Anolis sagrei: one gene and its partners. The protein of the gene in region 3 binds, or shares a complex with, the protein of the main gene of each other region. Links are inferred from orthologs where the notes say so. Each region holds a gene or a part of one and is shown on either strand. Other genes may lie near its edges.

The links.
Region 1: SARNP (region 3) and THOC5 share a complex: the UniProt entries of both Homo sapiens proteins name them as parts of the transcription/export (TREX) complex. The link is inferred for Anolis sagrei from reciprocal best matches to the Homo sapiens genes SARNP and THOC5.
Region 2: SARNP (region 3) and THOC7 share a complex: the UniProt entries of both Homo sapiens proteins name them as parts of the transcription/export (TREX) complex. The link is inferred for Anolis sagrei from reciprocal best matches to the Homo sapiens genes SARNP and THOC7.

Annotation. Positions count from the first base shown.
Region 1 is NC_090034.1:48,713,452-48,718,411, reverse strand, and holds the start of THOC5 (THO complex subunit 5 homolog), read left to right. Parts: upstream 1-1,391; 5' UTR 1,392-1,454; intron 1,455-3,734; 5' UTR 3,735-3,742; coding exon 3,743-3,844; intron 3,845-3,949; coding exon 3,950-4,093; intron 4,094-4,792; coding exon 4,793-4,906; intron 4,907-4,960. UniProt on the Homo sapiens protein: Component of the THO subcomplex of the TREX complex which is thought to couple mRNA transcription, processing and nuclear export, and which specifically associates with spliced mRNA and not with unspliced pre-mRNA.
Region 2 is NC_090022.1:33,440,842-33,445,801, reverse strand, and holds the start of THOC7 (THO complex subunit 7 homolog), read left to right. Parts: upstream 1-1,333; 5' UTR 1,334-1,398; coding exon 1,399-1,417; intron 1,418-3,348; coding exon 3,349-3,466; intron 3,467-4,960. UniProt on the Homo sapiens protein: Component of the THO subcomplex of the TREX complex which is thought to couple mRNA transcription, processing and nuclear export, and which specifically associates with spliced mRNA and not with unspliced pre-mRNA.
Region 3 is NC_090022.1:146,094,318-146,099,277, reverse strand, and holds the start of SARNP (SAP domain-containing ribonucleoprotein), read right to left. Parts: upstream 2,584-4,960; 5' UTR 2,523-2,583; coding exon 2,475-2,522; intron 1-2,474. UniProt on the Homo sapiens protein: Binds both single-stranded and double-stranded DNA with higher affinity for the single-stranded form. Specifically binds to scaffold/matrix attachment region DNA. Also binds single-stranded RNA. Enhances RNA unwinding activity of DDX39A.

The DNA of each region.
Region 1 (4,960 bases), on a different chromosome or scaffold from region 3:
ACAATAAAGTATGCCCAGATATTTATAGGCTACAGGCTGATTGCACATTATGGTTTGTCCATTTAGCATCTCTGTGCCCTCGATGTGAGTAATTTTCGATGATCATGATCATCACCTCCTCAGGGGAGCGTGCTTGCTCCATCAATGTTGAACATTTACACAAATGATCAACCACTGCCAGAAAAGACAGAGAGTTTAATCTGTGCTGATGATCGTGCCATTACTGCCCAAGCAGGGAGCTCTGAGATGGTTGAACAGAAACTTTCCGAAGATCTAGGTGCTCTTACTGCCCATTACAGGGAAAACCAGCTGATTCCTAATCCATCTAAAACACAGACATGTACTTTTAATCTTAAGAACAGACAAGCATCCCGAGCTCTGAGGATGACCTGGGAAGGAACCCCACTGAAGCATTGCAGCACACCCAAATACCTGGGAGTTACCCTGGACCGTGCTTGACTTACAAGAAGCACTGCCTGAATTTCAAGCAAAAAGTGGGCGCTAGAAACAATATCATATGAAAGCTGACTGGCACAATCTGGGGATCACAACCAGATACAGTGAAGACATCTGCCCTTGCGCTTTGCTACTCTGTTGCTGAGTATGCATGCCCAGTGTGGAACACATCTCACCACATTAAAACAGTGGATGTGGCTCTTAATGAGACATGCCTCATTATCACGGGGTGTCTGCGCCCTACACCACTGGAGAAATTACATTGTTTAGCCAGCATTGCACCACCTGACATCCACGGAGAAGTAGCAACCAATAGTGAAGGACCAAGGCAGTGACATCTCCAGCTCATCCCTTGTTTGGGCATCAGCCAGCACATCAATGACTTAAATCAAGATTTTTTTTTTCTAAGATCTACAGAGACATTCGCTGGAACACCTCAGCAAGCGAGAGTCCAAAAGTGGCAGGCTCAAACCCAGAACCTCAATCAATGGCTGATACCAAATGAGAGACTCCCCCCTGGGCACACAGAGGACTTGGAAGGCGCTGAACAGGCACCACGAGATGCAGCCAACCTTAAGAAATGGGGCCACAAAGTGGAGTCCACAACATGCAGGTGTGGAGAAGCGCAAACCACAGACCACTACACCAATGCAACCTGAGCCCATGCACAATGGAGGACCTTCTTGCAGCAACACCAGAGGCACTCCGAGTGGCCAGTTTCTGGTCAAAGAACATTTAGTAGAATACCAACTCTGCAAACTTTGTGGGTTTTTTTGTTTGTTTTTAATGCAATACAACTGTTTTGGTTCGCTCCTGACACGAAAAAATCATCATCTCTCCCAAACCCTTCTGGCTTGAAAGCAACCCTTGCCTGCAATGACGCCTGGGCGCCACCGGGGGCGGTAGAGGGGCGGCCCGTGCATTCGCCGAGCTTGCTTTCTCCCTCGTCTGACGTCACTTCCGCTCGGCGTCGAGAGTCCTAGTGAAGGCCTGTTGCGGTGAGTTTCTCTCTCATTTCCCCGTTGTTGGACCTTTTTCCTTCGAAATAAATGCCTGCTCTTTTTTCTCTATCTGTATGTTCCTTCATAAAACTCATGTGTTTTCCCCTGCTATCACTATCTATTGCTGTATATCTTTTATGTGTTTTTCTTAATTAAATTCCATGCGGTTTAATAAACTGCATTTATTAGGATTATTAGTCTTTTATTTCCTTGCATTTTTCCTTCTGATTAGTTGTATTTTTCCTCGATTATATACATATTTTCCTGTTATTTAGGCCTCATTTATTTCTATAGATTTTCTCTTCATAAAAGACATATATTTTTTCTCTGCTTATATAAAATACATAATACTTTTAATTGTTTCTTATTCTTTTCTGTATTTTCTTATTATTGTATATTTTCCTTCACAAAACACAGGTATTTCCCCCCTCTTTTTTGCTATAGCATTGTTTATCTTTTTAACACATTAAAAAAAACCCGATTTCTACTTGTGTTGTTTTCTATATATATATATAGTCTAATATTATTTAAATATATATATGCAAGAGAATATATTGTTTTTATTATGTTTTATTGATGTTATTTGTAATGAATTTTTTATCTATGTTAAATGTTTTTAATGTTTAATTATCTTTGTACTGTTGTGGGCATCGAATTGTGCCGTTTTGTAAACTGCCACGAGTTGCCCTTGGGCTGAGAATGGCAGTATAGAAATATAGTAAATAAATATAATTATTGTCAAAGGCTTTCATGGCTGGAATCACTAGGTTCTTGTAGGTTTTTTTGGTCTATATGGCCATGTTCTAGAGGCATTTCTTCTGACGTTTCGCCTGCATCTATGGCAAGCATCCTCAGAGGTAGTGAGGATGCTTGCCATAGATGCAGGCGAAACGTCAGGAGAAATGCCTCTAGAACATGGCCCTGTAGCCCGAAAAAACCTACAAGAACCTAATATAATTATTGTTCAGATATCATCTCGACCTCTGTGTTAGAATGAGAAGATATTAATATATAACATGCATACATGTTAGAATATATATATCTATACACAGAGTAGGAAAGGATAATGACGATGCTAGATGGATTACGGACTATGAATTGGTGAACATTGACCACAAGATGATTTTATTGCTGCTAGTATATTGTTTGACTGTCTTAATTAGTTATAATTGTTGACATTATATGGTAAATTTGTGTATTGTATATTGTATATTGTACTGTATTTTGTGAATTGTTAGGCATCGAATTGTGCTTTTTTGTAAGCCGCCCTGAGTCCCTCCTAGGGGGTTGAGAAGGGCGGGGTAGAAGCACTCCAAAAAAAAAAAAATCCAAAGAAATAAATATATAAGATTAGGAGCCCCAGATGGCACAGCAGGTTAAACTGCTGAGCTGCTGAACTTGATGACCGAAAGGTTGGCGGTTCAAATCCTGGGAGCAGGGTGAACTCTCAGTGTTAGCCCCAGCTTCTGCCAACCTAGCAGTTTAAAAATATGCAAATTTGAGTAGATCAATAGGTACCACTTCTGCAGGAAGGTAATGGCACTCCATGCAGTCACGCCGGCCACATGACCTAGGTGGTGTCTACGGACAACATTGGCTCTTTGGCTTTGAAATGGAGATGAGCACTACTCCCCAGAGTCAGACTCGACTGGACTTAATGTCAAGGGCAAACCTTTACCTTATATATAAGACTATATAATGATAATAATATTGTAATATAATGATATAGAATGATTATATATATATATATATATATATATTATTTTGCTCCTAGATTTTCTTCTTATTCCTATGAATTTTTCTTTATTAATGCATATTTTCCTCCTATTATTCTGTATTATCCAACCATCCATCCATCCACCAATCTATCCATCTACTAATCTGTCCACATTTCCTTCTAGCTGTCCATCCATCCACCAATCTCTCCACAATTCAATCTGTTCTATCTGTCTATGTATTCATCCATCCACCAATCCATCCATCCACAAATCTATCCACATTTCCTACTAGCTAGCTATCCATCTACCAATCTATCCACAATTTCTTCTATTCTGTCCATCCATATCCATCTGATATTATATATACATTATATTTAATATAAATGTATATACGGAGAGATGTGTGTGTGTATATGTGTGCATACAATATATATATTATTGGCAAAGGGTAGATTTGCGTGAAGCCCAAAAAGAGCAGATCGTTTACAAACTGGATAGGATCTAATATATATAATATTGTATGCTTTACCCTTAATGCATAGTCTGGTCTTTCTTAAAGGCAAGAGCATGTCTTCGGAGTCCGGGAAGAAGCGCAAGCCAAAGGTCATCCGGACAGAGGGTGTTGCTTCGGAAGGGAAGCGCAGCCGGGCAGAGGCCGAGCATAGCCAGGTGGGTATGGGGTGAGGGCAGGCTATGCCTGGGAAAGCTGAACCGGGGGGGGGGGGGGGGGGTTTGGGGAACTAGATCTCTCTCTCATCCTCTCTGTTTTGACAGGAGGGACGGCCTTTGAGTGAGGAGGCGGAGGTGGAGCTGCGGGATCCCAGCAAGGATTTTGCCCTCTACCAGCGCACCTGCCAGGACCTCCAGCGCCTGATGCTCGAGATCCAGGAGCTGAAGAGCCGAGGCGGCCGGGACAGTGTACGTTTGAGGAGCCCCAGAGGAAATCTGACCTAACCCTCTCCCAAATGCAGGAGGCCTCTCCTCCAAGCCTACCCACTGAGGGATTAATTTCACGTGTGTTAGGGCTGTGCAAAATTATAATTCCTCCTTGCAAGAAGGGAAAAAATAGGCCCACTTTCAGAGCTGGAGAAGGTGGAAAGTAGGCCACTTTCTCGAAACTGGAGACAGGGGAAAGTAGGCCTTTCAGAGCTGAAGAACGGGGAAAACAGGTCTTCTAAAAACTGGAGAAGGGGAGAAGTAGGCTCACTTTCAGAGCTGGAGAAGGCGGAAAATTGGTCTTGAAACTCGAGAAGGGGGAAAGTAGGCTTTCTTCTCAAAACTGGAGAAAGGTGAAAGTAGGCCATTTTTCATCTTTAGTGCAGTTTCATGAACTTCTCAGCTTTTCTGATACACCAACTGGGAAATGACACGTTACCAATCGAGTTGGGCAAACCTTTCTTGTATTTTATGTCTTCTGTATTGCACTTTTGTTGGTGTGTAAGCTGCCCCAAGTCCTTTTCAGGAGATGGTGGCAGGAAATATTTTGTGTGTGTGTGTGTGTGTATATAATCACATAATATCTGTTTTTTGTGTGTGTGTGTGTGTGTGTATATATATATATATACGCACAAATATTGATATAATGTTGAGGTCCATTTGCGGCAATGTGTTCCCCAGGCAGCGGAGATTGAAGAGCGCCGGATCCAGAGCTGCGTCCATTTTATGACCCTGAAGAAGCTCAACCGTTTGGCTCACATTCGGCTGAAGAGCGGACGAGACCAGACCCATGAGGTGAGTTTGTGGTGACTTTTCATCAGCTTTGGACAGTTTTAGGTGAGGGGAAAA
Region 2 (4,960 bases), about 110 Mb from region 3:
AAATCCCAGGATTCCATAGCATTGAGCCATGCCTGTTAAGGTAGGATGGGTGGAGTTTGACACCACTTTATCTATCCTGGCTCGACACTATGGATTCATGGGACATGTAGTTTTACAAACTCTATAGCTCGGGCTTGGGTGAACTTGGGCCCTCCAGGTGTTTTGGACTTCAACTTCCAAAATTGTGGGAGTTGAAGTCAAAAAACACCTGGAGGGCCCAAGTTGGCCCAGGCCTGAGCTAGTGGGAGTTGAAGTCCAAAACACCTGGAGGGCCCAAGTTTGCCCAGGCCTGAACTAGCTTTCTGCCCAAGTGTAGGTGCCTCACCCAAAACCAAATCCCTGGATTCCATAGCATTGAGCCATACCTGTTAAGATAGAATGGGTGCAGTCTGTCACCACTTTATCTATCCTGGCTGGATGCTATGGATTCGCGGGAGCCGTAGTTCTACAAACTCTATAGCTCAGGCCTGGGTGAACTTGGGCCCACCAGGTGTTTTAGACTTCAACTTCCACAATTGTGGGAGATGAAGTCCAAAACACCTGGTGGGCCCAAGTTGGCTCAGGCTGGAGATAGCTTTCTGCCCAAGTGTAGGTGCCTCACCCAAAACTACAAATCCCAGGAGTCCATAGCATTGAGCCATGCCTGTAAAGGTAGGATGGGTGGAGTTTGACCCCACTTTATCCTGGCTGGATACTATGTATTCATGGGAGATGTAGTTTCACAAACTCTATAGCTCAGGCCTGTGTGAACTTGGGCCCACCAGGTGTTTTGGACTTCAAGTTCCACAATTGTGGGAGTTGAAATCCAAAACACCTGGAGGGCCCAAGTTCGCCCAGGCCTGCACTAGCTTCTGTCAGTGTGTAGGTGCCTCACCCAAATCTATAAATCCCAGGATCCCGTAGCACTGAAAAGTTTCCCGAGGCCTGGCGCCTTCTCTGGCTGGGGCCTCACCAAAAGTCCAACCTGCCTTCGAAGCGGTGTCAAACTGCGTTAATTCCCCAGCGTGGCCAAAAGGTCACCAAAGGGGAGAGGCAGGGATTTCTGGTGGTGGGTGAACGCTTCCCCCTGCCTGGCTCTCACCTGGAGCGGAGGAAGGGGCAGGCGGGCGGGGCGAGGCGGGCCTGCTTGCCGAGCCAAGCCTAGCGAGTCGCCCTCCCCTTGGAACCCGCGCCCGGCCTGCTTCAGGGCCCAGGCGCAGCAGCCCACGACGACGACGACGCCTCCTCCTCCCCCTCCATGGCCGCCGCCGCCGCTCCTGCTGCTCCTGCTGCTGCCGCCGCCGCTTACCCGGCTGCTCCTGCTACTGCCGCCGCCGCCGCTGCATTGTGGGAAGCCGCCTCACTCCCTCACTTCCTCACTCGCTCCCTCCTGCCTCCGCCGCGGCCTTCGCCATCGCCATGGGCGCCGTCACCGATGGTGAGAGACCCAGCGCCTCCAGAGCCGGCCAAGGAGGGGACAGCGGCCGCCGCGACCCTTCTTGCTCCCAGCCAGCGAGGCCTTCCCGGGCCCTCTCTTTCCTCCTTTCTTTCCTCCTTCCTTTCCCTCAGGCTCGAGTCCCTTCTGCCCTCATGGCCTTCGCCTCAGCAAGGCCTTCACATCCTTCCTCCTCTTCCAGGCCTCCTCTTCCCTCCTCCTCACTGAGGCCTTCGCTCTCTTCTTCCCCCTCCTGGGGTGGTTTTCACCTTTGGGAAGGAGTGTGGGGCGCCCTGAGGCCTCTTCCACACCTGAATGAATACAACCCCACGTTCTCTGCTTTGAACTGGGATAGATGGCACGGTGGACTCAGGCAACCCACACAGCCCTCTAGCCCAGAATATCAAGGCAGAAAGTCCCACAATATCTGCTTTGAACTGAGTTATCTGAGTCCACATTGCCATATATCCCAGTTCAAAGCAGAAAATGAGGGGTTTCATTCAGCTGTGTGGATTCAGATAACCTAATTCAACGCAGATATAGTGGGATTGTCTGCCTTGATATTCTGGGATATAGGGCTGTGTGGAAGGGCCCTCAGATAACCCAGTTCAAAGCAGATATTGTGGCAATGTGGACTCAGACAACCCACACAGCCCTATAGCCCAGAATATCAAGGCAGACAATCCCACAATATCTGCTTTGAACTGGGTTATCTGAGGGCCCTTCCACACAGCCCTATATCCCAGAATATCAAGGCAGACAATCCCACTATATCTGCGTTGAATTGGGTTATCTGAATCCACACAGGCCCCTTCCACACAGCTGAATGAAATCCCTCATTTTCTGCTTTGAACTGGGATATATGGCAATGTGGACTCAGATAACTCAGTTCAGAGCAGATATTGTGGGATTTTCTGCCTCAATATTCTGGATTATATGGCTGTGTGGGAAGGCCCTTAGATAATGTGGGATTTTCTGCCTTGATATTCAGGATTATATGGCTGTGTGGAAAGGCCCTTAGATAATGTGGGATTTTCTGCTTTGATATTCTGGCATTCAGGGCCTTGTGGAAGAGCCCCCAGAATATCAAGGCAGAAAATCCCACAGTCTCAGTTTTGAACTGGGTTATCTGGGGCCACTTCCACACAGCTGAATAAATTTTTTTTTGCATTTGGTCGTTTCCATATTCCCTGTATCATTCTCCTGTTTCACACTTCAAGTACTTTCCATGCAGCTGGATAAAATCCCACATTTTCTGCTTTGAACTGGAATATATAGCAGTGTGGACTCAGATAACCCAGTTCAGATATTGTGGGATTTTCTGCCTTGGTATTCTGGTTTATATGGCTATGTGGAAGGGCCCTTAGATTTGTCTTTCTCCACATAACAATGTTAATAATAATGGTAATAATAATCAATTTTACTTTAAAGTTAGATTCTGATTTCCTATTTGCATTAATTAAACAATGTATCTAAAAAGAAGGAAAATATCCTTATTTTGATAACAGTATGTATATATTTAAGGAAGATGTGAGGGACATTTGACTCTCCAAATATTTTGGATCACACAATCCACAGTCATTGGCCCATGTTGGATGGAAATAGAGAGGCCAAAACCTTTGGAAAGTGAATGGTTCCCCATCTGTGGTTGGAGGGCCCTTCCACACAGCCCTTTGTACTGCGATCTGATCCAAGATTCAGGTAATTTCCTTAGGTCCTGACTATGGGCTCTTCCACACTGTCCTATATCAGGGAATATCAAGCTAGGAAATCCCACATCTCAGTGTGGACTCAGATAACCCAGTCCAAAGCAGATATTGTGGGATTTTCTGCCTTGATATTCTGGGTTATAGGGCTGTGTGGAAGGGCCCTGTGTCTGTGATCACAACTCATAAACGAACATTATTAATTTTGAAATATTGTTTCTTCTTTAGATGAAGTTATTCGCAAGCGACTTTTGATTGATGGAGATGGTGCTGGTGATGACAGACGAATTAATTTGTTGGTGAAGAGTTTCATCAAGTGGTGCAATTCTGGATCCCAAGAAGAAGGGTATTTTTCTATCTTAGAATCATAGAATCATAGAATCAGAGAGTTGGAAGAGACCTCATGGGCCATCCAGTCCAACCCCCTGCCAAGAAGCAGGAATATTGCATTCAAATCACCCCTGACAGATGGCCATCCAGCCTCTGCTTAAAAGCCTCCAAAGAAGGAGCCTCCACCACACTCCGGGGCAGAGAGTTCCACTGCTGAACGGCTCTCACAGTCAGGAAGTTCTTCCTCATGTTCAGATGGAATCTCCTCTCTTGTAGTTTGAAGCCATTGTTCCGCGTCCTAGTCTCCAGGGAAGCAGAAAACAAGCTTGCTCCCTCCTCCCTGTGGCTTCCTCTCACATATTTATACATGGTAAAATCTTATCAATAAATGGAAACTAAGTGCAGCCCATCAAACGCCAGTACTCTGTAATATCTACTAATGTTAAAGGGGCATGGGGATTGTGTCCAATGACATTTAGTAGTGCATTTTGAATGTGAAGTTTTTTACTGGTAGAGTATATTTCAATGAACACAAAGAAAGACTCTTTTTCAGGAAAACAAATATTGAAATAGTGTAAAGGTTGTAATGAAATGTAAATGACTCTGAGCAAGTATCATACACTAGTTACTTAAGTATTTTGACATTTCCAAATGTACATTATTCCGCATTCTCTCTGGAATTATGAACCTTGATAATGTATTTTGCAGTTTACACTGACTGTAGATAGTCATGTCCTGTAAATAAAGTGGCAGAGACGTGTATGCAGATAGAGCCCTCGGTGCTTTAAAATAATAAAATAAACCCTTGTGTCAGCAGGACTGAAGACCAACAGGTTGGAGGTTCAAATCTGGGGAGAGCACAGATGAGCTCCCTCTTATCAGCTCTAGCCTCCCACAGGAATGATAAAACATCAAAACATCTGGGCCACATCCTTTCAGACGGCCAGTTCTCTCACACCAGAAGCGGCTTGCAGTTTCTCAAGTCGCTCCTGACATGAAAAAAAATGTATGCAGCTGCACTGGGAATCCTAGAACCAAACCCCCAAGGATCTGGAGGCTCATGGTACTGAATGATATGATACATATTGACCATGTAGCATAACCAAGAATACAGTAGCTTTAGGAGAAACAACAAGAAATCTTAATAGACAAAATCTCTTTTAGGAGTCTTTACGTGGAATCATTTTCAGTGGCATAAAACAATACTTGCTGCTATTTAGTTTTAAAAGTTTCTCTATAAAATTTCTTTTATTGTAGTACTATTGGCAGTCCCCAAGTTGACCTAGGATACCTATCATTGAATGTCCTTTTATAAGAATCGTATTAAAAGGCTCTGAAGACCAAGTGTTTCATCATCGCATTGCGAGTCTACAGCGTGAAAACATGCGTTAAACAGGAAAATATAGCATATTAATTTATTAACGCAATCTCTTTATGTTATAATTTACAGTGTTTATTGATTAATACCAAGCCTATCTGTATTATGTAGTTATAGTCATGCTTCAGAAAT
Region 3 (4,960 bases):
CACAATGGGTTAAACCCTTGTGCTGGCAGGACTGCTGATCAAAAGGTCAGTGGTTCAAATCCAGGAGCGGGGTGAGGTCCCATTTGTCAGCTCCAGCTTCTAATGCAGGGACATGAGAGAAGGCTCCCACAGGCTGGTAGAACATCTGGGTGTCCCCTGAGCAACATCCTTGCAGACGGCCAATTCTCTCACACCAGAAGCGATTTACAATTTCAATGTATTGTCGAAGGCTTTCATGGCTGGAATCACTAGGTTCTTGTGGGTTTTTTCGGGCTATAGAGCCATGTTCTAGAGGCATTTCTCCTGACGTTTCACCTGCATCTATGGCAAGCATCCTCAGAGGTAGTGAGGTCTGTTGGAATTAGGACAATGGGTTTATATATCTGTGGAATGGCTGGGGTGGGGCAAGGAGCGCTTCCCTGCTGCAGTTAGGTGTGAATGTTTCACCTGATCACCTTCATTAGCATTTGAAGGCCTGCCTGAGCCTGGGAAAATCTCTTGCTGGGAGGTGTTAATCTGTGCCTGGTTGTTTCCTCTCTGTTGTTTTGCTGTTGTAATTTTAGAGTTTTTTAATACTGGTAGCCAGATTTTGTTCGTTTTCATGGTCTCTTCCTTTCTGTTGAAATTGTCCACATGCTTGTGGATTTCAATGGTTTCTCTGTGTAGTCTGACATGGTGGTGGTTGGTGTGGTCCAGCATTTCTGTGTTCTCAAATAATATGCTGTGTCCAGGCTGGTTCATCAGGTGCTCTGCTATGGCTGACTTCTCTGGTTGAAGTAGTCTGCAGTGCCTTTCATGTTCCTTGATGCGTGTCTGGGCGCTGCGTTTGGTGGTCCCTATGTAGACTTGTCCACAGCTGCATGGTATACGGTAGACTCCTGCAGAGGTGAGAGGATCCCTCTTGTCCTTTGCTGAACGTAGCATTTGTTGGATTTTCTTGGTGGGTTTGTAGATTGTTTGTATGTTGTGTTTCCTCATCAGCTTCACCCAGAGGAAAAGTGTCCCTGCCATACATCAAGGGAACCACTGACCGCATAGGGAAGCTGATGAGGAAACACAACATGCAAACAATCTACAAACCCACCAAGAAAATCCAACAAATGCTACGTTACCATGCAGCTGTGGACAAGTCTACATAGGGACCACCAGACCTCATGGACCAGCCCACGCCAGAGCTCCCTGTTAGCCGTGGCCATCCCCAGCTCCTTCAAAGTTAAGCCAGTCACTTCAAGGATACCATTGCCCTTGGTCAACCTCTCTTCCTTTTTCTTTCCATTTTCCCCAGCATCATTATCTTCTCCATGGTTTCATGTCCTCATTATGTGGCCACAGTACTTCATCTTTGCCTCTAATATCCTTCCCTCCAGTGAGCAGTCAGGCTTTTTTCCCTAAAGTATGGACAGGTTGGATCTTCTTGCAGTCCAAGGAATTATCCGAATTTTCCTCCAGCACCACAGTTCTTCCTTCTTTATGGTCCACCTTTCACATCCATAGGTTGCAAGGGGAATACCATTGCTTTAACTATGCAGATCTTCGTTGCCAATGTGCTGTCTTAACTATTTTAACGAGATTGGCCATTGCTCTCCTCCCAAGAAGTAAAGTCTCCTGATTTCCTGGCTGCAGTCTGCATCTGCAGTAATCTTTGCACCTAGAAATACAAAGTCTGTCACTGCCTCCACGTTTTCTCTCTCTATTTGCCATTTATCAATCAGTCTGGTTGCCATAATCTTGGGTTTTTAATGTTTAGCTGCAACCCAGCTTTTGCACTTTCTTCTTTCACCTTGGTTAGAAGACTCCTCAGCTTCTCCTCGCTTTTGGCCATCAAACAGCCATGCTTATCCGAAATGATGCTACATTGAGAAGGGGCGAGCTTGTTTTCTTCTGGCCTGGAAGCTAGGGCCCAATGGAGAAATGGATTCAAACTGCAGGATAGAAAATGCCCTTTCAACGTGAGGAAAAACTTCCTGAGGGCAAGTGCTGTTCGACAGGGGACAGACTGCTCCCTTAGAGTGTGGCGGAGACTCCTTACAGCCGGTTGGGTTTGGCTGTTAGGAATTGTGGGAGTTGAAGTCCAAAGCACCTGGAGAGCCGGAGTTTGCCCATGCCTGTATAAGAGGGTGCTTTGATTGTGTATCCCTGCATGGCAGAAAAGGGTTGCACAGGACGGCCCTTGGGGCCTCCTCCAATTGACCTGGGAAAGGCCTTCCTCAGCGGGAGGTGGGAAAGTGGGAGGCGCCGTGAGAGAGGGAAGGCCTGCAAGGCAGCTCCATCCTGCCCTCACGAGAGAGAGAGAGAGAGAGAGAGAGAGAGAGAGAGAGGCACGAGCCCACCCCCTGAGGAGAAGCAGACGCCGCTCCAGCCAAAGAAAGCACGAAGCGCCTGGCAAGAAGGGGAGGCCACGCGCCGCTTCCTCGACTCCTCAAAAATAAATAAATAACCGACATGCCGACCCCGCGCGACTGGCCTCGCGCTACCTTCAACTTGTGGAGCTCCACAGTTTCTGCCACCACCGCCGCCGCCATCTTCTCCTCACCAGGTCCTCCACGCGCCCCCTCCCCGTCCTGCGCGTGGCACCCAATCAGGGCGGCGCTCTCACTGGAGCCTCACACCTCGCAGCATCGCCTCTCCTCATTGGCTCCTCGAACGGAGAGGCGAAACGTCGTAAAGGGGAGCTGCCAATAGGACGGGAGGAAGGAGGATGGAGGAGTCAGCGATTGGCTGGCTGGTTGGCGGGAGGGTGGGAAGCGGAGGCGATGCCGGCTGTCTTCCTGGAACCCTCTTCCCTGCCGGGCGAGGGAGAGGCGCTGGCTGCTGCTGCTGCGGAGCCCCGTTTCCTGGAGGGAGAGGCGCTCCCGCGGAAGACGCCAGGTAGGCGCCCAAGGAGGGCAAACTGGAGGCCCTCCTCCCAGAGAGAGGGGAGCGAGGGCGCGCTCACGGTGTAGAAAGGAGGCAGTGCCGCACCATCTGGACTGACAGGACTCAAGGCTATGGCACCTTGGGGGTTGTGCTTTGGCAGGGCCTTTAGCCTTCTCTGCCGAAGAGGGTGGGTGCCTCGCCTCACCACACTAGACATCCCACGACCCCAAAGCCTTCAGCCATGCCATACCAAGTGTAGTTGTTTTTTATTCGTTCAGTTGCTTCCCACTCTTCGTGACCTCATGGACCATTCCACGCCATAACTCCCTGTCAGCCGTCACCACCCCCAACTCCTTCACAGTCAAGCGAGTCACTTCAAGGGTACCACGCATCCATCTTGCCCATGGTCGGCCCCTCTTCCTTTTCCATTTCCCCCAGCATCATTGTCTTCTCTAAGCTTTCCTGTCTTCTCATGATGTGGCCAAAGTACTTCATCTTGGCCTCTACTATCCTTTCCTCCAATGAGCAATCGGGCTTTATTTCCTGAAGTATGGACTGGCTTGATCTTCTTAGAACCATAGAGTTGGAAGAGACCTCATAGGCCATCCAGTCCAACCCCCCTGCCAAGAAGCAGGAATATTGCATTCAAAGCACCCCTGACAGATGGCCATCCAGCCTGTTTAAAAACCTCCAAAGGAGGAGCCTCCACCATACGCCAGGGCAGAGAGTTCCACTGCTGAATGGCTCTCACAGTCAGGAAGTTCTTCCTCATGTTCAGATGGAATCTCCTTCTTGTTGTCCAAGGCACTCTCAGATTTTTACTCCAGCACCACAGTTCAAAAGCATCTATCTTCCTTCGCTCAGCCTTCCCTATGGTCCAGCTCTCACATCTGTAGGTGACTACAGGGAATACCATTGCTTTAACTATGTGGATCTACATTGCCAGTGTGATGTCTCTACTCTTTACTATTTTATCAAGACTGGACATTGCTCTCCTCCCAAGAAGTAAGCGTCTTCTGATTTCCTGGCTGCAGTCTGCATCTGCAGTAATCTTTGCACCTAGAAATACAAAGTCTGTCACTTCCTCCATGTTTTCTCCCTCTATTTTCCAGTTGTCAATCAGTCTGGTTGCCATAATCTTGGTTTTTTTATGTTTAGCAGCAACCCAGCTTTTGCACTTTCTTCTTTCACCTTGATTAGAAGGCTCCTCAGCTCCTTCTCACTTTTGGCCATCAAAGTGGTATCATCTCAATATCTAAGGTTGTTAATATTTCTTCCAGCAAATTTTACCCCAGCCTTGCATTCATCAAGCCCCGCACATTGCATGATGTGTTTTCTACATACATGTTGAATAGGTTGGGTGAGAGTATACAACCCTGCCTTATACCCAATCTTGAACCAGTCTGTTGTTCTATGGTCAGTTCTCACTGTTGCTACTGGATCCTTGTACAGATTCCTCAGGGGAGAGACAAGGTGGCTTGGGATCCCCATACCACCAAGAACTAGCCACAATTTATTATGATCCACACAGTCAAAGGCTTTAGAATAGTCAATAAAATAGAAAAAGATGTTTTTTCTGAAACTCCCTGCCTTTCTCCATCATCCAGCAGGTATTGGCAATTTGACCTGGAACTTTGGCATACCATGTTCAAATAGTTTGCCTCAGTTGAGATTGTCCTGCCTGTATAATGATTGAAAGCAAAGCTGCTCCACCTGCGGCATCCTCTGAAATTCACCCCTACCAATCAAGACAGGCATATATTTCCGAATCCAAACTATAGCGGATGACAAGCAGCAGGGAAATGAGAGCAGCAAAGGATGTAATAAGATGCCTTGCGGGGTTGATAATGTAAACAATTGGGAGTGCCACCTATTTTAAGCCTGAAATGTATTACACTATGTAATAAGTAAGTAATTAAACTACGTAACACAATTTTTGTTCCTGGGTTATGTCATTTTCTAATTTATTCTGCCACAAATAAACTACAAAAACTTTGTTCTTGTGGGGCATCCTACAGCACAGTTCGTTATAGTTTTTCAATTAATATCTCATAGTCTCAACCAATTCGATATAGTTTGTGGAAGCAACAAAATTGAAGTTTCT